Linked DNA regions of Sus scrofa. The protein of the gene in region 4 interacts with the protein of the main gene of each other region in a biochemical or structural test. Links are inferred from orthologs where the notes say so. Each region holds a gene or a part of one and is shown on either strand. Other genes may lie near its edges. The genes, in order: CBX5, SIRT1, FBP1 and TRIM28.

Region 1 (5,089 bases), on a different chromosome or scaffold from region 4:
AGCATTTTCCTCGCCTCGGCTCCTTTTCAGCATCTCGAACATTTTTCTTTCCTTCCCTCCCTATGTGGCAAACTGTTTTCAGCCGCCAGCTATGATTTACGACTCAGTTCGTGCGCCAGCATTCCAGCTGTGAGCAGCTGTGTGCACATCTGGGAACCTCCTCCTTTTAAGCACCCCCAAAAGAGGCTATGTTTTTAAGTCTGTATGTCCCCTGATCCATGCGTGGAATTTCCTTCCCAATGTTGGATTCTGGTATCTTTGGGGACCACCTGGACGCTGAATGCTTTGTATCTCAGAAGAAAGCAAGGCGAATATCAGAGCAAAGAGATTTTATTATGAAAATCAGATATCAGAGATTTAGTTCAATTGGGCAGTCTTTCTAAATCTTTTTTTGTATTGACACTAAATAAGCTTGCATTATCTTCCATAAAAAGGTTTTTTTTAATTACCTGGTTTGTATAAAATTTCACCATTTTGCTCTCACAAGTGGCAGCACACCTGAATCAGACTCTAATGCTCCTTGTCTGGACTGCGTGATTATCGTTTGACCAAGTCTGAATAATTCCTTACAGAATTATCAGTCTAGTTCTGCTCTCTTTTTTTATTTTTGTTTTTTTCGGGGGGCTTTTTTTGGCTGCAGCAAGCAGCAGCTTAATGTGGGATCTCAATTCCCAGACCAGAGATTGAACCTGGGCTGCAGCAGTGAAAGCGTGCGTCCTAACCACTAGACTACCAGGAAAGTCCCCAGTTCTGCTCTCTAATGCAATTGATCTATCCCCTTCAGGAAGGGATAGACATAGACCAGGGCCTCTTCCCCAAATGTGTGGGTGTTACAGTATGTGAGCTCTGAAAAGAAATTTTCTGTTTTATGATAATGCCTTGAATTATCCTTATCTCTGTTCTTCCATAAGCATAGATGACTCTGGGAAAAGAAGTATTAAAAATATTGGTCAGTGTTAGGTGAACTAAAAGTCTAAAAAAATAAAGATTAAGAGGTTTTATATTTGAAGTTTATAAAATGAAAAAGGGTTTCTTTCAGGTAACCCCTGTGGACTTGTTTATCAACCCAGAAGGAACAATTTAGCAGTAGTCCATTTATAATAACAAGATTAAATGAGGGGATAGAGGATTTTCTATATGATGACTCCAGAATATTTTAAAGGATATTAAATAGTTTTAGGGGCCACTCCAAATCCTTTGAAGGAATACTGGAAGGACAGCTGCAACTTCCTGTAGAAATATCTCTGTCACTGGCTGATGCAGTATTGTATTTAGATCCTAAGAATTTTATGAATTGGTGACAAAAGTGATATCTAGTGATATTAACTTAGGTTGTGCTTTGTTGAGCTGAGAAACGGGAAGGTTTTTTGACTGTTATCTCCAAGCTGTAACCTTTCTTCATCTTCTATTTATAGCAGAGCAATGATATCGCTCGGGGCTTTGAGAGAGGATTGGAACCAGAAAAGATCATTGGGGCGACAGATTCCTGTGGCGATTTAATGTTCCTAATGAAATGGTGAGAGAGATTGGGCCTCACTCTGCAATTGTGTTTCTTTGCCAGTGACTTGAATTTGTACGGAAGATAGGGAGAGAAGACTGAGTAATTTTGATTAAGAATTTTGATCGTCAGGGAGCTAAATTTTTAGCTGATACCAACTGTCAGTATTAAATGGGAATTATAGTTCAGAATGGATTTAAGACATTTGAAAGCTTTAGTATTAAGCCAAATTATAATATATTAGCACACATACTAATGTGTAGATTTGAGGTAGGAAACATATAAACATGACCTAACCATTTAATTTACACAGTTGTGAATCATTTACCATCAGACCACGAGCCTGTGGCCATGGAATAGGAATTGAGTGAGGCTTTCTGCCATCACTGAGGACCAAGACCACTCAATAATGTCTAAAAGAGAAGAGTAATCTCAACAAAAAGCATTAAGAATAATACTGGCCAAAGCACAAATTATTTCATCCGGTAGAGGGAATGGATCTTAGAGGAAAGTATAGTTACTTCCCCTCAATTTGGTTTCTTAAAGACAGAGTGATTTATAGTGTGGCCCTCACTACCTCTCTATTTCCAAGTGTTCTGGGCTTGTAATTTAAGTTTGGTCTCTAAATAGAGAGTTCATGCTACAGTGCCACTAAGGAAGCTAATTACCTTAGAAGTTGTATAGTCAAGAGGTTTAATATTTTATCTGATCGAAATTTTGTTGGTAAATTACCCAGAAGTCTGTATTTGAAGAATCACTATACTCTGTCTGCATAAGGAGCTGTATTGACTGCTTTTCCCACTCAGCCATATGTGGTACTTATGATTTACATTCACATGTTAACTAGCTTTTTCCACCACAGTCCAAATTTGGGTAGCTGCTCTTAGCGATGTGTTTCCCTCCCCACCCCCCTTCTCATCCATAATGCTTACCTCTATGAATTCAGCATCTCTGTTTCCTAGGAAAGAGGTTAGCTGTCTTTGCTCACATCTCGGTGGGATTTTAATTTAAAAATTTTTTCTTTCTTGATTTGGATTTCTGGTTAAGGAACTTACTGGATTTCTTTTTCATATTGTAATTGAAATTTGCATTTAATGCCTACATTTTATTTTAGTGACTAGATTTTACATTCGTCCTCACTCTGTTTTATAAGGACTGTTGCTGACCGAAATTTCTACTTTCTTACTGTTCTAATCCACAGTTCTGACCAAAAGGATGAGTGTTTAAAAGGTCACGCAGGAATTCCCCTACTGGCTGGGCAGAAACGAATCTGACTAGTAACCAAGAGGTTGAGGGTTTGATCCCTGGCCTCGCTCAGTGGGTTGAGGATCCGGTGTTGCCGTGAGCCATGGTGTAGGTCACAGACGCGGCTCGTGTACTGCATTGCCTGGATACCGTGGCTGTGGCGTAGGCTGGCAGCTGTAGCTCCGATTGGACCCCTAGCCTGGGAACTTCCATATGCCTCGGGTGTGGCCCTAAAGAGCAAAAGCCAAAAAATAAATAAATAAAAGGCCACATGATGAGGAGAGTTAGGACCTTTCAATGATCCAGATGATCCAAAAAGTGGATTGAGCAATTTATGCTTAATCAATAGGGCTGAATGTAGGTTTGATTGTGTCTTTGCTCACATGCTCATACCCACACATAAAAATTATGGGAGCAGAATTTATATAGTAGTTTAATTTTCAGCCTTTTGGTTAAGCCTGCTAGGTTTCCCATCTATTCTAGCTTAAGTCTTCTGATGTGGTAGTCGAATGATGTTTACTAACTCGATTCATTTACTTAAATTTCTCCTTGAAAATGTGGGACTGTTAGGATCCTTTTCCCTTTGAAGTCAAGATGGAGAAGAAATCAAGTCAGCTAAATCATAATTTAATGACATAAACCTGTGTTTGGACACTCTCTCACCTTTCCTCTCATTCTAAATCTCATAATTCTTTCTCTCCAGGAAAGACACAGATGAAGCAGACCTGGTTCTTGCAAAAGAAGCTAATGTTAAATGTCCACAAATTGTGATAGCATTTTATGAAGAGAGACTGACGTGGCATGCATATCCTGAGGATGCGGAAAACAAAGAGAAAGAAACAGCAAAGAGCTAAAGGAGGGGGTGGTCTCTGTCATTTCTCTTTGTACATAATACATTCACCTTCCTGCCTCCTCTCCCTTCTACCCACCCCCTTCTATCCTAAACACATCCATAAAAAATGTGCTTATCACTGTGCTCCACAGGAGAAATGTTGGTATTGGTTCTCTTGTAACATAACTGATGGTCTGATTCATGATAAGTGTCTCTCTGTGAAGACCAGGCATTTACATACTGTGTGTAATTCCCACAGTTTTTTCCTTTGCCCTGCTCTCTTCCTTCTGCTCCCCTGTGACCTCAAGATGAGTTTTAACTTTTTAATCACTTTAGAGTTTTGATCTTCAGGGTTGGTTGCTTTTTAGATGGGGGATTTTGTTACATTGATGAAGAATTTTGGTTTCTTGCTTTGGCTCTTAGAACACGTTGATGACCAGCTAGCCTTTGTTTTGAGATGTTGGGATGGAAATGATGTTGCCCATCTTTTGAAAAAGCCAATAGCAACTGCCTACCTGTTGGGGCTTCCCCCAACCTCATTCAGCTCTACCCAGGAGAATACAGGGTTTCTGGTGTGGTCTTCTGGGCCACCCTCTGTTGTTCATCCTCACCCATCCTCCAGAATAGCTCCATCCTTTGGAGGACTTGAAATTTTACATTCAGATTTGTCAAGGCACTCCTTTTAGCCCCAGGACTCTTGGCCTTGTTTCTTAGCTGTCCCTGATTCTGCTTCTGCAAGTTGGTGTAGTCTGTCATAAAATGACAAAATTATTAACTGTGGAGATTTTTAGCTATTAGTACATGAGGATGGTGGGGTAGGATACAGTTGTCTTTATTATCACATGTGGTACATATGTATTATTTCCTTTCACCCCTCCCATTTGGGCTATGTATTTATGTAGGTGTGAGTGACTGCCTGGTGCTTGCTTGTGCCAAGGTGCTAGGCACCCTCCAACCCTGCCAACTTTTGTGGCCTCCCAAAGCATTCCTGTTACCAAAGAGGCTTCAAACCTGACCCTCACTTCTCAGTGGACCCACGTTTCTCCTCCATGCCATTATTTTCAGTGGGGAATTCTTGGAGGGGAGCCATTGGCCACCATATCAATTTTAAATATTCATAGTGTCTATAATCATAAGTTTCCTGCTTTGTTGACTCTTGGATTTGCCACCAAGAGTCCCCAAAGTATTAGTGCTCTTACTTTTTTTCCACCTTTAAACTCGTAGTGGTATCTTATTTTTTCAGTGCATTTCTATGGAAATTATCACCTTGGAGAGTGACAGGCCCCGGCATTAATTAGCATGTTGACACAACCTCTCCCTTCTTGGCAAGATAGTTCTCTTTTGGCTTCTTCCTGCTCTGCCCTTATATGTAGAGATTATTTTTCTGATTATCTCCTTCTGCCTTTGTTCCCCAAGAAATGCCCTACTTCTCTTTACCCTTTTTTTCCTCATAATTGAAGGGGGCTAGAGAATCAAGACTAAAAGTAATAAGGAAATAGCAGGGTTTTGAGCAT
Region 2 (5,545 bases), on a different chromosome or scaffold from region 4:
TTTTATTTGTATAAGATACTCTCAACTTTTTTTTTGTCTTTTTAGGGCGCACCTGTGGCATATGGAGGTTCCCAAGCTAGGGGTCTAATCTGACCTACAGCTGCTGGCTTATGCCACAGCCACAGCAACACCAGATCCAAGCTGCATCTGCGACCTACACCACAGCTCACGGCAACGCCACATCCTTAACCCACTGAGCAAGGCCAGGGATCAAACCCGAAACTTCATGGTTCCTAGTCGGATTCATTTCTGCTGCACTACAACGGGAACTCCATCTATTTGTATAAGATACTCTCAATGTTGTATTTATTTATTTATGTCTTTTTAGGACTGCACCTGTGGCATATGGAAGTTCCCAGGCTAAGGGTCAAATTGGAGCTGAAGCTGCTGGCCTATAGCACAGCCACAGTAATGCTAGATCCAAGCCTCTTCTTTGACCTATACAACAGCTTATGGCAATGCCAGATCCCTAACCCACTGAGGGAGGCCAGGGATAGAACACATCCTCCTGGTTACTAGTTGGGTTCCTTACCACTGAGTCACAGTGTGAACTCCTCAACATTTTATTTATTATATCCTACCCACATAGTTGAGAATCAATTTATGAAGTATTTTGTAAGATAGATAAAGTGGGGAGAAAACAGGGCTAAGTATGTCATCCAGGAAGGGCGAGATACCTGTGTACTTAGGAATTGGAAAGTGTATAGGAGGGAAGAAAGGACAGCAGGATTTGGTCACTGATTGATTAGAGAGCATCAATCTGAAGGAACACCTCAATCATGATTTCAAGGCCTCTAGGAGGAAAGACAGCCTCACTTTCAGAAACCACGCAACCACTTGTAAGGGGAGAGTCTCAGTTTAATTTGAGGTACAAAGAGATTTGGGTTTAGATGGGACATTGGAGATACATTTTCGAAATTATAACTTTTTTTTTTAAAGGAGGAAACATCTTAGATTGCTTTCTTAAGTTCAAACAAGTAATTGGCATGGTAGAGGCAGGACCCACTTTAAGCTTAAGGGCTGATTTATTGTAAATTCAGAGAGGTCCCTTCAGTGGCTAGAAACGCCATGCTGCAGAGGCAGATGCCTACCAAACTTGGCCATACTATAACACATCCTTAGTTAAGGTAGGCTATGAAGTCACAAGAGTTCTGGAATGTCAGGAAAAGTGGAAAGTAGAAGGCCTTCAAGTAGGGCAGGACTAATATTTTAGCTCTATTTAGCCCTCACTTTATATCCAGCAATCTTATGTAACTATTTTTTTTTCCCAGCCTGACCTGCTGCATGTGGAAGTTCTGGGGCCAGGGATTGACCCAAGCCGCTGCAGTAACAACGCTAGATCCCAAGACTGTGCCACAAGAGAACCCGCTACCTTAATTCTCAGCACAACTCTACCATTGCAGAGATTAGGACAGTGGGTGTAGAAAGGCTAAATAAATGGCTCAAGGTCAATCAGAAAGACCTCAAGTTCGAAACCAAACCGATGTTTATAAGGGCCAAGTCATGCTCAGTTCAGCTCTCCTCATGAGGCCCCACTTGGCCCAATATACTCATTTTGAAGCCCAGAAAAGATAAATCACACACATTTGGAGCTAAGTTGGGGCCTGAAATCGAACAGGCTGATCCCTACCCGGCCCCCCACCGTCAAACCTCTTTCTAGGGCAGATACATGCTTTTAATGGTCTAACAATGTATATCACCCTCTGAGTAATGGAGAGAGGGAGAAAAATAAACCGGCTAAGGAGAGAAGCAAGCAGAAAATAGGAGCTGAAGAGTACCCGCCAGAACGGTTTGAGGAGGGTGAAGAGTGAGGTGTGTGTCCTTTTGCCTCTACTCATACAGGTTAACAAAACAGACCCATCACCTAGCTTATTTGGCCAGCTTCATTCCCTATCGCCTTTCAGGAACTAAGTTTTAAGCCTTAACGTTAAGTCCAGAAAAGACTAAGTGAGGAGAGCAAGGTGTGCACTTTAGGCAGAAGTGGAAATTCGCAGTGCAAACCAAAACTTGAGCTAACCGGGCAGCAGTGATTTGAGGACAGCTTGAAAGAGAAGTTTGGCTGAGAGAAGCGCCTGCAGCGGAGGGGTGGGGCCACAGCACCCTGCAGCGTTTGCTCCTGGCCCCCACCGCCTCCGCTTGCCACGTGACCCGCCGTGTTGTGGTCCGGCCCGCGTGGGTGGCGGGAGCTGCGGGTGGGCGGGGGCGAGGAGGGGCGGGTCACGTGACGGGGTTTAAATCTCCCGCAGCCGGAGCCGCGGGGGCGCCAGTGCCGCGAGTCGAGCGGGAGCAGAGGAGGTGAGGGAGGAGGGCCAGAGAGGCAGTTGAAAGATGGCGGACGAGGCGGCGCTCGCCCTTCAGCCCGGCGGCTCCCCCTCGGCGGTGGCGGCTGAGAGGGAGGCCCCGTCGCCCCCCGCCGGGGAGCCGCTCCGCAAGAAACCGCGGAGAGACGGCCCGGGCGTCGGGCGGAGCCCGGGCGAGCCTGGTGGGGCGGCCTTGGAGCGTGAGCTGCCGGCGGCGGCGGGCGGCTGCCCGGCGGCGGCGGTGCTGTGGCGGGAGACCGCTGCGGGCGGGGAGCGGGAGGCCCAGGCGGCTGCGGCGGCAGGAGAAGGAAACAATGGGCCGGGCTTACAGGGCCTATCCCGGGAGGCGCCCCCGGCCGACGACTTCTACGACGACGACGACGACGACGAGGGCGAGGAGGAGGAAGAGGCGGCGGCAGCGGCGGCTATTGGGTACCGAGGTGCGCAGGGCGCGGGCGGCCGGGACTGCGCATCCCCCCGCCTCCTCTCGGGGCCCCTCCTGATGTGGGGTGGGGGAGTCTCGGGCAGGCTGGGGGCTCGTGGCTGGCTTTGTAGCGTCCCCCTCCCAACCAGGGCCCTCAGCTGCGCGCCTCCGCGGCTGCAGGCCTGGCTGCAGGAGCGGCCCGTCGACTCTATCCCTCCCTCGCCCTCTCCCCGCCCTCCTCCCCTCAGTCCCAGGCCCGCCCCGGCGGCCTTGCGCTTTGCGCAGCCGCGGGGCTGGCGAGCCTCGCAGTGGATTTTAAAATAAGTTTCTCTTTCCTCCTACTCTTTTAGCATATTGCTTTTGTTAAGTGTTTTTTGCTTCTCCGCCCTTTCTCCCCTCGCCCCGCACAGTTAAACCTGCAACTTTTGACTGTCCCTGATAACAACCATTTGCAGTTGACTTTGCAAACTGACACCTGTGCAATTTGTTGTTGTTTTTGAGGGCCTTTATTTATAAACTTGTTTTGAAATTTAAAAGAGTAAAGCTGTTTCTAAAGTCACAACCTGCAAAATTTGAAGAGCATAGCTGTTTCTACAGGCATCACTTTGGTGCAGTTAATAGAGGGCATAGGAGAGAAATAGGTTTTAGAATACTTTGTGTGAATAGTGTTTTTTCTCTAAATCATATTCTTATAGTGGTTTTTAGATTAAGTGTCTGTGTGTGTGTATGTAGCCCCGAAATACGAGTTGACGCTTTTCTGACCTACTAAAGCAGATACAGTATATGATGGTTGTATATGTCTCGTCATCTTTGAGTGTGTCATGTTTTCTAGCTGGATAGACGTGTTTTTATTAATCTTTTATTGGTAAATACAATCTGGGCCATTTGACCTGTGTAAAGCTTACGACGTGTGCATTAGGGACTGGAGTGGAAAAACGACCCCTGTTTTCAAGGAACAGTTTAATAGTGGGAATGAATAGTGCAAATATCTTAGTGTATGTTTAGTATTATGTATTATAAATGTATTTTTACATGTACATATATGCAAGTTGCCGTAGTTATATTTGCACCACCTTTGAATAAGTTTTTTGGAGTTTTTTGGCTGCACCTGCAGCATGTCGAAGTTCCTGGGCCAGGGATCCAACACTCCCCACTGCAGCGACAACTTGAGATCTTAACCCACTCCACCACAGCGGGAACTCCTGAATTCTATTATTTGTGATCGACAAATTCCAATTAACTAGGTTATTTATTACTTTTTGTATTTTTAAGTAGACTTAATTTCTTGCTCAATTTTGATGAACTCTAACTTAGATTCTGGGCAGGATCCCTAAAGATGAGGATATACTGTTCCTGGGAATGATGCAAGCTGATTCAGTAGGCATTCTTTACACACTCAGTGTGAATGTTAAGTGCTTTGTTTATTTAAAAATTTTATGACCGAACCTGGGCCTATGGGAGCTCCTAGGCTAGGGACTGAATCCAAGCCACAGCTGAGACCTATACTAAGGCAGCGGAATGGGATTCTTTAACCCACTGCACTGGGACAGGGATCCAACCTGCATCTCAGTAGCAACCCAGGCAGGTACAGGCTTAACCCATTGCCCCACAGTAGTAACTCCCAAGTGCTTTATTCATTGGAAATTCTTACATCATAATCATTACAGTTCTTCATACATTTTATTTATTTATTTTATTTTTTAGGGCTGCACTTGCAGCATATGGAAGTTCCGAGGCCAGGGGTCGAATCTGAGCTGCAGCTGCCAGCCGATGCCACACTAATGCCAGATCTGAGCTGCATCTTTGACCTGCACCACAGTTCACTGCAACTCTGGATCCTTAACCCTCAGAGGAGGACAGGGATCGACCTGCTCATGGATATTAGTTGGGTTCTTAACCAACTGTGCCATAACAGGAACTCTCTTATTCATACATTTTAAATGGTAGATTGTTTCATCAGCCTTGAGTTACTTTTGGCTTCTTTTGCAGATAACCTTCTGTTTGGTGATGAAATCGTCACCAATGGTTTCCATTCTTGTGAAAGTGATGAGGATGATAGAGCCTCACATGCCAGTTCTAGTGACTGGACTCCAAGACCACGGATAGGTATGGTTTTCACAGCCTAAGCTATCTTTTTTAGTATTTTCTTTTTAAGTCAACTAAAAATAAAATTCTCTGTCCCCTTATGGTCTGGTGATGAGGTTCTTAGGTGTTTAACGAAATTTACTATCAGCTTGTTTCTAGGGAAGGTAGAGCTTTGAACTGCTTTTGTTTCTAAATAGCATGGGCCTGTCTAAGCTGACCTCTGGTATTTCTCAAATAACCAGGTCCTTCTCACACTTGTGGGCCTTTACACTTGGGCCCTCTGTGTGAAATGGTCTTTTTTTTTTTTTTTTTTTTAAATAATCTTTTCTGGCTGACAGGGGCCACATGGAGTTCCTCAGGCCAGGGATGAGATCCCAGCTGCCATTTTGACCTGTATCCTAGCTTCGGCTACATCAGATCCTTAACACACTGTGCCATAAGAGAGGTCCAAATTTGTTCTGTTTTAGGCATTACCTTAAAACTGTTGTTTGATGCTGTTGCCACGATCGAACCTGGGTCCCATGCTCCAGAGACACTGCTGCTCTCTTGTGCCACAGAGGGATCTCTTCCGGTTAGAGTATCTTGCTTTCTTACTTCATTGCCCTTCTGTATTTTTTTCTTTTTAACACTTATTTATTAACAGTCTCTCCGTGTAACTTTTTTATTGACTGTTTTTAGAATATAAGTCCTATGGGGGTAGGGATTTCTGACTGATTTGTATACTGTTTTGTCAGTG
Region 3 (5,089 bases), on a different chromosome or scaffold from region 4:
CCCTGAATGCAGCTGTGTTAACCACTGGGCTTTCGAATTATACATGAATCAATACTTTTCCTTTCCCTTCCTTCCTCTTTTCTCCGTCCCTCCCTCCTTTCCTTCCTCAAGTTAGTTTAGATTGTGATACTGTCTGTTGAATCTTTTTTTTTTTTTTTTTTTTTTTGGTCTTTTGTCTTTTTAGGGCCACACCTGCAGCATATGGAGGTTCCCAGGCTAGGGGTCGAATTGGAGCTGTTGCTGCCAGCCTACATCACAGCCACAGCTACACCAGATCCTAGCCACGTCTGCGACCTACACCACAGCTCATGGCAACGCCGGATCCTTAACTCACTAAGCAAGGCTAGAGGTCGAACCCGCAACCTCATGGTTCCTAGTTGGATTTGTTTCCGCTGCACCATGGCAGGAACTCCTGTCTATTGAATCTTAATACACAAGATAAGTAATATTAATAGCTACTATTTGTTGAGTCCTTTTTATATGCCAGGCCCTATTTTCATTGCATGATGCTTAATTTTCAGTACCTCTCCTTTAAGATAAAGAAACAAGAGGTTAACTTGCCCAGGGTCCCACAGAGCTAGGAAGTTTCAGCTTCAGAAACCACATTCTATATGTCTGTTATTAAGTATCCCTGTGTCCAGTTAAGGGAAGCAAATTGGATTCTGAAGCTGCTAGAGCACTTCCGAAACCCTGCTTTTAGCTGTGGGGTCTGGATATCTTTAAAGGATGTTGCAAATGAGAATGTATCATATCACCTGCGGCATATGGAGGTTCCCAGGCTAGGGGTCGAATTGGAGCTGTAGCTGCTGGCCTATAGCAACACCAGATCTGACCCACGTCTGTTACCTACACCACACCTCATGGCAATACCGGATCCTTAAGGCACTGAGCAAGGCCAGGGATCGACTCTGCGTCCTCATGGATGCTGGTCAGATTCGTTTCCACTGAGCCACGATGGTAACTCCTAAAATGTATTTTTTGGAGTTCCTGTCGTGCCTCAGTGGTTAACGAATCCAACTGGGGACCATGAGGTTGCGGGTTCTTTCCCTGGCCTCACTCAGTGGGTTAAGGATCTGGCGTTGCCATGAGCTGTGATGTAGGTTGCAGACTCGGCTTGGATCTGGTGTTGCTGTGGCTCTGGCATAGGCTGGTGACTGCAGCTCCGATTAGACCCCTAGCCTGGGAACCTCCATATGTCGCGGGTGCAATCCTAGAAAAGACAAAAAAAAAAATGTACTTTTTATTGTAGGTCATGGTCCCCCAAAATGGAAAGTGTTTGCCCTACATGGTAATGACTTTGGAGAAGTGGTCTCCATTGCTGTATTTCTGAGAATCTCTTTGATGAGGGAGTATGGACCACACGGCTCACTGGAGTATATGCTGCAACTGGCAGGAGCTCATGAAATTGATTTCCTCACCAGACTCATAGCCCTGCAGCCCAGGCTTAATTTGTTTAAATAAAGATGGAGTAGGCAGGGGGAAGGCATTGATGCCTGTAATCAGATTAAATTAGTGGGCGCTGGCCAGGAGGCACGTTCTTTTCTGAAAGTGATAATGGCGAAATGAAGGACTATCAAATTAATAAAATTGGAGGAGGACTCTGATTGGCGAGAAGGCTCCAGATGCAGGGGGTTGTTGGGAATGCTGCTGTGGTAATATAATCAGGATATTACTGACGTGTGGAAGAAGGCCCCCCTCCGGGAAGATGCCCTCTTTCATGGGGAGAGCACCTTGCTAACGCATCTTGCTAGTGTGTGAACGGGAAAAGAGAACCCACCAAACAGACCAGAACCAAACCAAAGACGTGTTTTATTTTCTTTCTTGCCCCAGAATTCAACTGATGAACCTTCTGAGAAGGACGCACTGCAGCCAGGCCGGAACCTGGTGGCAGCTGGCTATGCGCTCTATGGCAGTGCCACCATGTTGGTCCTGGCCATGGTGAATGGAGTCAATTGCTTCATGCTGGACCCGGTGAGAGACCCTGGGGGATGTTAGGTGCTTGCTTGGCTGGCGGCCGTGAGTGTCTGTTGTGTGTCTTGGTGGGGGGGGGTACCTAGAGGTGCAAGATGAACCCCCTGGAGGGACAGAGATGATGGGGTGAGGGGTTGGGGGGGAGATGGAGGGACAACATATACATGATGAAAGGGTTATCAAGGTGAGGCAGGATGTCTGTCCAGAGCATGGGGGAAGTCTTTGTTCCAAGAAGATTTTTTTTTTTTGCTCTTTAGGGCCGCACTCGTGGCACATGGAAGTTCCCAGGCTAGGGGTCAAATCAGAGGTACAGCTGCTGGCCTACACCACAGCCACAGCAACACAAGATCCGAGCTGGTCTGCGATCTACACCACAGCTCATGGCAATGCTGGATCCTGAACCCACGGATCGAGGCCAGGGAACGAACCTGCATTCTCATGGGACCTCGTCAGGTTCATTAACCACTGAGCCACACGGGAACTCCCAAGATGAATTCTTCAGAGCAGACATTACTTGGCCGACTCAGATGCCCACAGGGCCAGGCAGGCCATGAAAATGAGTGGCGTCTGCTGGGGAAAGACAGCCAGGCGGTGGTGGGGTAATGGTGGGGTGCTGGGGACCTGGGGATGTCCAGCCGTTGTTACTCCTTACGAATAGTGGCTCCATCCTGCCAAGGCTTCCAGGGTTTCAACAAACACTGGATTTTTTAGAAAACGTAGTGTTTCTGGATTTGTACAACACTGTGCGAGCCAACTAAAATACATTTATGGACCAGATGGGGCCCGAGGCGGGTCTGCTTGCCACCTACTCTATCCATTACCAGCATCTTTGCCTGAGCTGAACGGGGGTCCCAACGGATGCAGTGAACTGCCGCGTTTCTTCAGAATTAGCTCCCAGATTCATCTAAGGTCCTACACGTGTGCTCACACCTTCAGTGAACCCTTGTGGTTTTGAGAAGGCTTTGACGAACCCAAGGAATTGAAAATAAAGAAGGAAATGAAGCTAATTCCTTAGTCCACCTTAGAGAGAAAAGCTCCATTATGGGAAAGGAGCCCAAGGTGCCATGAAAAATATACATGAACCGTTTTAACTTGTGGGTAATTTCTTCCACATGTCAATCAATTGGAGTTGTTCATTTATTCTGTTCATGGACATTTTCAGCCAAGCAGCTAAACTGACCAAAGAAATCTCTTTAAATCTTTGGCCCAACTAAACCTACCATTGAGAGGGATTCCATAGACTCATCTCCAAGAGGTTGACACATTTATTATGCATTGGGTCCAGTGTCCCAAGAGAAAAAGAATTGGGTTTATAAATACCTTTCAGGTTTTGTGGTTTTTGTTTTTGTTTTTGTTTTTTTGTTTTTTTTTTTTGCTTTTTAGGGCTGACCTCATGGCATATGGAGGTTCCCAGGCTAGGGGTCAAATTGGAGTTACAGCTGCTGGCCTACACCACAGCTCGCGGCAACACTGGATCCTTAACCTACTGAGCGAGGCCAGGGATCGAACCCACAACCTCATGGTTCCTAGTTGGATTCGTTTCCGCTGCACCAAGACAGGAACTCCTATAAATATCTTTCAGTTTTAGAATCGTCCTCAGATGACACGAATGGAATCCATTATGGATTTGGTGCTTTTTGCTGACAAACCGAACACCGGGTACCAACAGCCGCCAGAATCTTGTGAGGGGCAGTTTGCTGGTGGTGAGGCCTCGGGTCTGTGGCTGGCAGGTCCTGTACGTCAGGATGTAGGCATCTTTGTCCCCTGCACTCTTGCACAAGTGGACTTTGCCTCCTTAGCACTGGAAGTACCAATGCTTAATAAATAAACAAGAGTAGGGAAACAGCACCAGCCTCCCGAGGAGGTGATTGATCTCAGGGGAAAACAGTGGCGGAACTGGAGCAAAGTTCACGCTGAGCCCAGGGTGCAGTTTCCAAAAGCACTGATGTCTGCGGATTTCTGGTCACTTCTCTCTTGGCTTTGAGTTGATGGATGTGGAGGACACATTAAATCTCTTCTTGTTTCCAGATCGCAGACTTTGTCTCTGAGAGCAAGTCTCCGCGTGTTTCATAGTCTCTTGCCCTCCTCACAGCTGATGGCCCCTCGGTGTTTGGGAGAACCATGCAGGGTGCCTGTAATACTCCTTGATGGCTGCCTGCCCTCCCCGGATCTGAGGCACCCTTGGCTCCTGATGCCTGCAGGGAGGAAAGGGGGCGAGCCTTGCATCAGCTTAGAGCTTCCTTTTCTTTTCTCTTCTTCTCTCTTACTTTCTCTTCTTTTTTTTTTTTTTTTGTCTCTTTTTAGGGCTACATTTGCGGCATATGGAAGTTCCCAGACTAGGGGTCAAATTGGAGCCATAGCTGTTGGCTTACACCACAACCACAGCAACCCAGAATCCAAACTGCATCTGTGACCTACTCTACAGCTCATAGCAATGCCGAATCCTTAACCCACTGAGTGAAGCCAGGGACTGAACCCGCATCCTCATGGATATTAGTCAGGTTCATTTACCACTGAGCCTCGTTCCTTTCCTTCCCTTCTGTTTCTTTTTGTTTCCTTTCTTTTTTTATGGCTGCAACCACAGCATACACAAGTCCCCAGGCCAGGGATTGAATGGGAGCTGCAGCTACAACCTACACAGCAGCAGTGCTGGATCCTTTAACCCACTGCACCAGGCGGGAATCAAACCCATGCCTCTGTCGTGACCTGAGCGGCTGCAGTTGTATTCTTAACCCACTGTGCCACAGCAGGAACTCCGTTTTCTTTTCATCTTGGCTTTCAGTTTCTGCTGAAAAGACGACAACAGCTTTATTTGCATTTCTCACGTGCTTTCATATATGAAAAGCTTCTCAGTCTCCCATGTCTCTGTATCAGAGAGCTAAGCTCCTTCACAGCTGGGATGCTCTGGCCAGCTCCCAGGGCAGGGCATCTGCAAAGCATGGCTTCATGAGCATCTACTGTGTGATGACTTCGTTTTTTTGGACTTTTACCAAAAAAATAAAAATAAATGAACCAGTCACAGTGATACCTTTCAGTGATCACCGTTAATGCGAGTCTCTTTTCTCTCCCAACCCTCCACTCTTGCTCCCTGTCTTCCTTTCTAGCTCCAACACGCTCC
Region 4 (3,915 bases):
CAGGCAGGAGGTGGGGCCTTTAGCTCCACCTACTGCTGGGGTTGGAGGTGGCTGAGGATGAGCTCCAGCTTGATGGTTCCCTCCCCCAGGACCAGCCAAGTCGAGGGACGGTGAGCGCACGGTATACTGCAGCGTGCACAAGCACGAGCCCCTCGTGCTGTTCTGCGAGAGCTGCGACACCCTCACCTGCCGGGACTGCCAGCTCAACGCCCACAAGGACCACCAGTGAGTCCTGAGGCGTGGTGAGGGGGTGCTGCCTGTTTCTGTGCTGGGCGCCCGGCCCACCTTTGTCTGCCCTTAGGTACCAGTTCCTGGAGGATGCAGTGAGGAACCAGCGAAAGCTCCTGGCCTCACTGGTGAAGCGCCTCGGGGACAAGCATGCGACGTTGCAGAAGAACACCAAGGAGGTTCGCAGCTCGTAAGTGTGGATGCCAGGGCTGTGGGGCGGTCCCTGGGTGAGCACCGGCCGCACTGGGCCTGACTGACCCGCTCGGCCCCCAGGATCCGCCAGGTGTCTGATGTGCAGAAGCGCGTGCAGGTGGATGTCAAGATGGCCATCCTGCAGATCATGAAGGAGCTGAACAAGCGGGGCCGCGTGCTGGTCAACGACGCCCAGGTACAGCCTGGGCGGTCCTCCTCTGCCGCCTGCTCCCCCCGCCTGTGGTGGGAGGCTGCCACTGCCAGTCGGTGGCGGGTGGAAGTTGTGCTCTGCTCCTTCCCCGACCCCCATTCCGCCTCCACCTGCAGAAGGTGACTGAGGGCCAGCAGGAGCGCCTGGAGCGCCAGCACTGGACCATGACTAAGATCCAGAAACACCAGGAACACATTCTGCGCTTTGCCTCCTGGGCTCTGGAGAGTGACAACAACACAGCCCTGCTCCTCTCCAAAAAGCTGGTGTGTGCTGGTGTTGGGTTCCAGGTGGGGGCCTCCCAGGACCGCGGGGCCCTCTTGACTGCCCGTGTGCTCGTGTGCCCCCACCCCAGATCTACTTCCAGCTGCACCGGGCCCTCAAGATGATTGTGGACCCTGTGGAGCCACATGGCGAGATGAAGTTCCAGTGGGATCTCAATGCCTGGACCAAGAGTGCAGAGGCCTTCGGTGAGAGGTTTTGTTTTGCCCTTGCTGCTCTTGGTCATCCCAGCCAGCGGTGTCGTGGTGTCGTCTTAGGCTTGTTGTATCTCCGTAACTGCAGGCAAGATCGTGGCAGAACGTCCTGGCACCAACTCCACTGGCCCTGCACCCATGGCCCCTCCTCGGGCTCCAGGACCTTTGAGCAAGCAGACCTCTGGCAGCAGCCAGGTGAGCAGGGGAAGGGATCGGGAGAGGAGAGGGGCGTGGGGTCCTGTGTGGCGCCTTCCCACTGAGGTTCCCTGCTTTGCCCACAGCCCATGGAGGTGCAGGAAGGCTATGGCTTTGGATCAGGTGAGTGGGTCTGTGCCCGGTGGGAGGGTGAGCTCCGCTGTTCTGTGTCCACCCCACCTTCTCCTTTTGTGTCCAAGCAGACGACCCCTACTCGAGTGCCGAGCCCCACGTGTCCGGGGTAAAGCGGTGAGTGTGGCCATCCTTTGGTGACCAGAGGGATGGAAGGGTCACAAGCACACGTGTACTCACGCCAAGCCCCACCCACAGGTCCCGCTCAGGTGACGGCGAGGTGAGCGGCCTCATGCGCAAGGTGCCACGGGTGAGCCTCGAACGCCTGGACTTGGATCTCACCGCTGACAGCCAGCCGCCAGTCTTCAAGGTCTTCCCAGGCAGCACCACGGAGGACTACAACCTCATTGTCATCGAGCGAGGCGCTGCAGCTGCTGCTGCTGGACAACCTGGGACTGCAGCCCCTGGGGCTCCTGGGGCCCCGCCCCTGCCTGGCATGGCCATCGTCAAGGTGAGCCTGCCCTCCGTATTCTTGGCTGGGGAAGGGATGCCATCAGCTGCCCAGGCTGGCACGTCGCTGAACATCCCGCATCCTTGCAGGAGGAAGAAACAGAGGCTGCCATTGGCGCTCCGCCTGCTGCCACTGAGGGCCAGGAGACCAAGCCTGTGCTGATGGCCCTGGCGGAGGGCCCTGGTGCCGAGGGCCCCCGCCTGGCCTCACCCAGTGGCAGCACCAGCTCAGGCTTGGAGGTGGTGGCTCCAGAGGGCACCTCAGCCCCAGCGGGTGGCCCAGGTGCCCTGGATGACAGTGCCACCATCTGCCGTGTCTGCCAGAAACCAGGTGACCTGGTCATGTGCAACCAGTGCGAGTTCTGCTTCCACCTGGATTGCCACCTGCCTGCCCTGCAGGATGTGCCAGGGTGCGAGGCTACGTGGGGTCTGCAGGGTGGAGGGCTGGGCTGGGTCCTTTGCAGCCCCTCATTCTCTGTTCCCCCCAGGGAGGAGTGGAGCTGCTCGCTCTGCCATGTGCTCCCTGACCTGAAGGAGGAGGATGGCAGCCTGAACCTTGACGGTGGAGACAGCACTGGCGTGGTGGCCAAGCTCTCGCCAGCCAACCAACAGGTGAGGGTGGGGGCCCACTCCCTTGGTTTGGCCAGCAGCCCCCACTCCCCCTTGATGTTCTGGTGTCCATGTAACATCCACAGAAGTGTGAGCGCGTCCTCCTGGCCCTCTTCTGCCATGAGCCCTGTAGGCCCCTGCACCAACTGGCTACCGACTCCACATTCTCTCTGGTGAGTTTGGGACTTCGGAGGATGAGAGGGAGGCGCGGGGGCTGCTTGGCCTCACCTTCCCCCCCGGGGCTTCTCCCTGCAGGATCAGCCTGGCGGCACCCTGGACTTGACCCTGATCCGAGCCCGTCTCCAGGAGAAGTTGTCACCTCCCTACAGCTCCCCCCAGGAGTTTGCCCAGGACGTGGGCCGCATGTTCAAGCAGTTCAACAAGCTGACGGAGGTGAGCCGTTGGGGCGGGGGCGCGTGTTGGGGAGAGGGGGCCGATGGCAGGGCGGCGGGAGGACGAGGACCCATCCGTCCACTGTCGTCTGCCTGGCAGGATAAGGCCGACGTGCAGTCCATCATTGGCCTGCAGCGCTTCTTTGAGACTCGCATGAACGAGGCCTTTGGTGACACCAAGTTCTCTGCTGTGCTGGTGGAGCCTCCGCCACTGAGCCTGCCGGGTGCTGGCCTGAGTGCCCAGGACCTATCCAGTGGCCCCGGTGATGGCCCCTGAGGCTGGGCAGCCCCCAAGCTGGCCCAGCCTGGTTCTGTTCTCTGTCCTGTCACCCCTCTTCCCGCTCCTGTTCCTCTTCCCTCCGGTGGCCTGGTTCCACTCCTTGGTGGCCCATACCCCAGCCCTTCACAATATGGTTTTTACTTCTGTGGATTTAATAAAAACTTCACCAGTTACTTAGGTTTTGTTTGGTGGGGCAGTGGTCCTGGGGGCCTGGTCTCTATATATCCTTTCTCCCAAAGCCCTGACAAGCCAGTTAGGGGTGGGGTTCTCGTTGCCAGCCATGCCACCCCTTCTGTCTAAGAGGTGGGGAAAAACCCCCTTTCCTCCTGGGCCCTTCCTAGTGTGGGGGCTGCCTTGGTGGAGAGGATGGTCCCGGGGCAGGTAGGCAGACCCAGGCTGGCCTGTGGCCCTTGCCAGTGCTTCCTTTCTCTGTCAGTGACCTGGGCAGGCTGAGACTGCTGCTGGGCTAAGCTGAGCCAGACACTATACCTGGGGTCCAGCCAGGCTTGGGTCTTAGGGTTGTGTCAGGGTATCTGCAGCGCCTCCCACCTCAGGGTGCTAGTGTTAGGCCTTTGGAGACAGAAGGGGTGCCGGGCCATTATTCACAGCTGACCTTTACCTCGCAAGCCTTGAAAACCTGAGAGGACTTGGCCTGTGCAGCTCCGCCCAGACCAGCGGAGAACCCAGCCCACCCCGTCCCTACCCTTGGTTGCTCTGGTGCACGTGACGACGTGCCTGCCGCCGAGGGCTCCC

What was found.
Region 1: the proteins of TRIM28 (region 4) and CBX5 form a complex in vitro, tested with the Homo sapiens proteins (6 studies listed by BioGRID, with this or other methods). The link is inferred for Sus scrofa from reciprocal best matches to the Homo sapiens genes TRIM28 and CBX5.
Region 2: of the proteins of TRIM28 (region 4) and SIRT1, one has a biochemical effect on the other in vitro, tested with the Homo sapiens proteins (2 studies listed by BioGRID). The link is inferred for Sus scrofa from reciprocal best matches to the Homo sapiens genes TRIM28 and SIRT1.
Region 3: the proteins of TRIM28 (region 4) and FBP1 form a complex in vitro, tested with the Homo sapiens proteins (2 studies listed by BioGRID). The link is inferred for Sus scrofa from reciprocal best matches to the Homo sapiens genes TRIM28 and FBP1.

The regions. Positions count from the first base shown.
Region 1 is NC_010447.5:19,452,914-19,458,002, reverse strand, and holds part of CBX5 (chromobox protein homolog 5), read left to right. Parts: intron 1-1,415; coding exon 1,416-1,516; intron 1,517-3,446; coding exon 3,447-3,597; 3' UTR 3,598-5,089. UniProt on the Homo sapiens protein: Component of heterochromatin that recognizes and binds histone H3 tails methylated at 'Lys-9' (H3K9me), leading to epigenetic repression. In contrast, it is excluded from chromatin when 'Tyr-41' of histone H3 is phosphorylated (H3Y41ph).
Region 2 is NC_010456.5:71,088,854-71,094,398, forward strand, and holds the start of SIRT1 (NAD-dependent protein deacetylase sirtuin-1), read left to right. Parts: upstream 1-2,313; 5' UTR 2,314-2,328; coding exon 2,329-2,740; intron 2,741-4,713; coding exon 4,714-4,830; intron 4,831-5,545. UniProt on the Homo sapiens protein: NAD-dependent protein deacetylase that links transcriptional regulation directly to intracellular energetics and participates in the coordination of several separated cellular functions such as cell cycle, response to DNA damage, metabolism, apoptosis and autophagy.
Region 3 is NC_010452.4:27,611,713-27,616,801, forward strand, and holds part of FBP1 (fructose-1,6-bisphosphatase 1), read left to right. Parts: intron 1-1,830; coding exon 1,831-1,971; intron 1,972-5,089. UniProt on the Homo sapiens protein: Catalyzes the hydrolysis of fructose 1,6-bisphosphate to fructose 6-phosphate in the presence of divalent cations, acting as a rate-limiting enzyme in gluconeogenesis. Plays a role in regulating glucose sensing and insulin secretion of pancreatic beta-cells.
Region 4 is NC_010448.4:63,098,198-63,102,112, forward strand, and holds the end of TRIM28 (transcription intermediary factor 1-beta), read left to right. Parts: intron 1-89; coding exon 90-225; intron 226-301; coding exon 302-418; intron 419-501; coding exon 502-616; intron 617-747; coding exon 748-894; intron 895-983; coding exon 984-1,098; intron 1,099-1,192; coding exon 1,193-1,299; intron 1,300-1,385; coding exon 1,386-1,422; intron 1,423-1,499; coding exon of another isoform or gene 1,500-1,502; coding exon 1,503-1,548; intron 1,549-1,629; coding exon 1,630-1,882; intron 1,883-1,971; coding exon 1,972-2,493; intron 2,494-2,576; coding exon 2,577-2,663; intron 2,664-2,745; coding exon 2,746-2,883; intron 2,884-2,982; coding exon 2,983-3,159; 3' UTR 3,160-3,335; downstream 3,336-3,915. UniProt on the Homo sapiens protein: Nuclear corepressor for KRAB domain-containing zinc finger proteins (KRAB-ZFPs).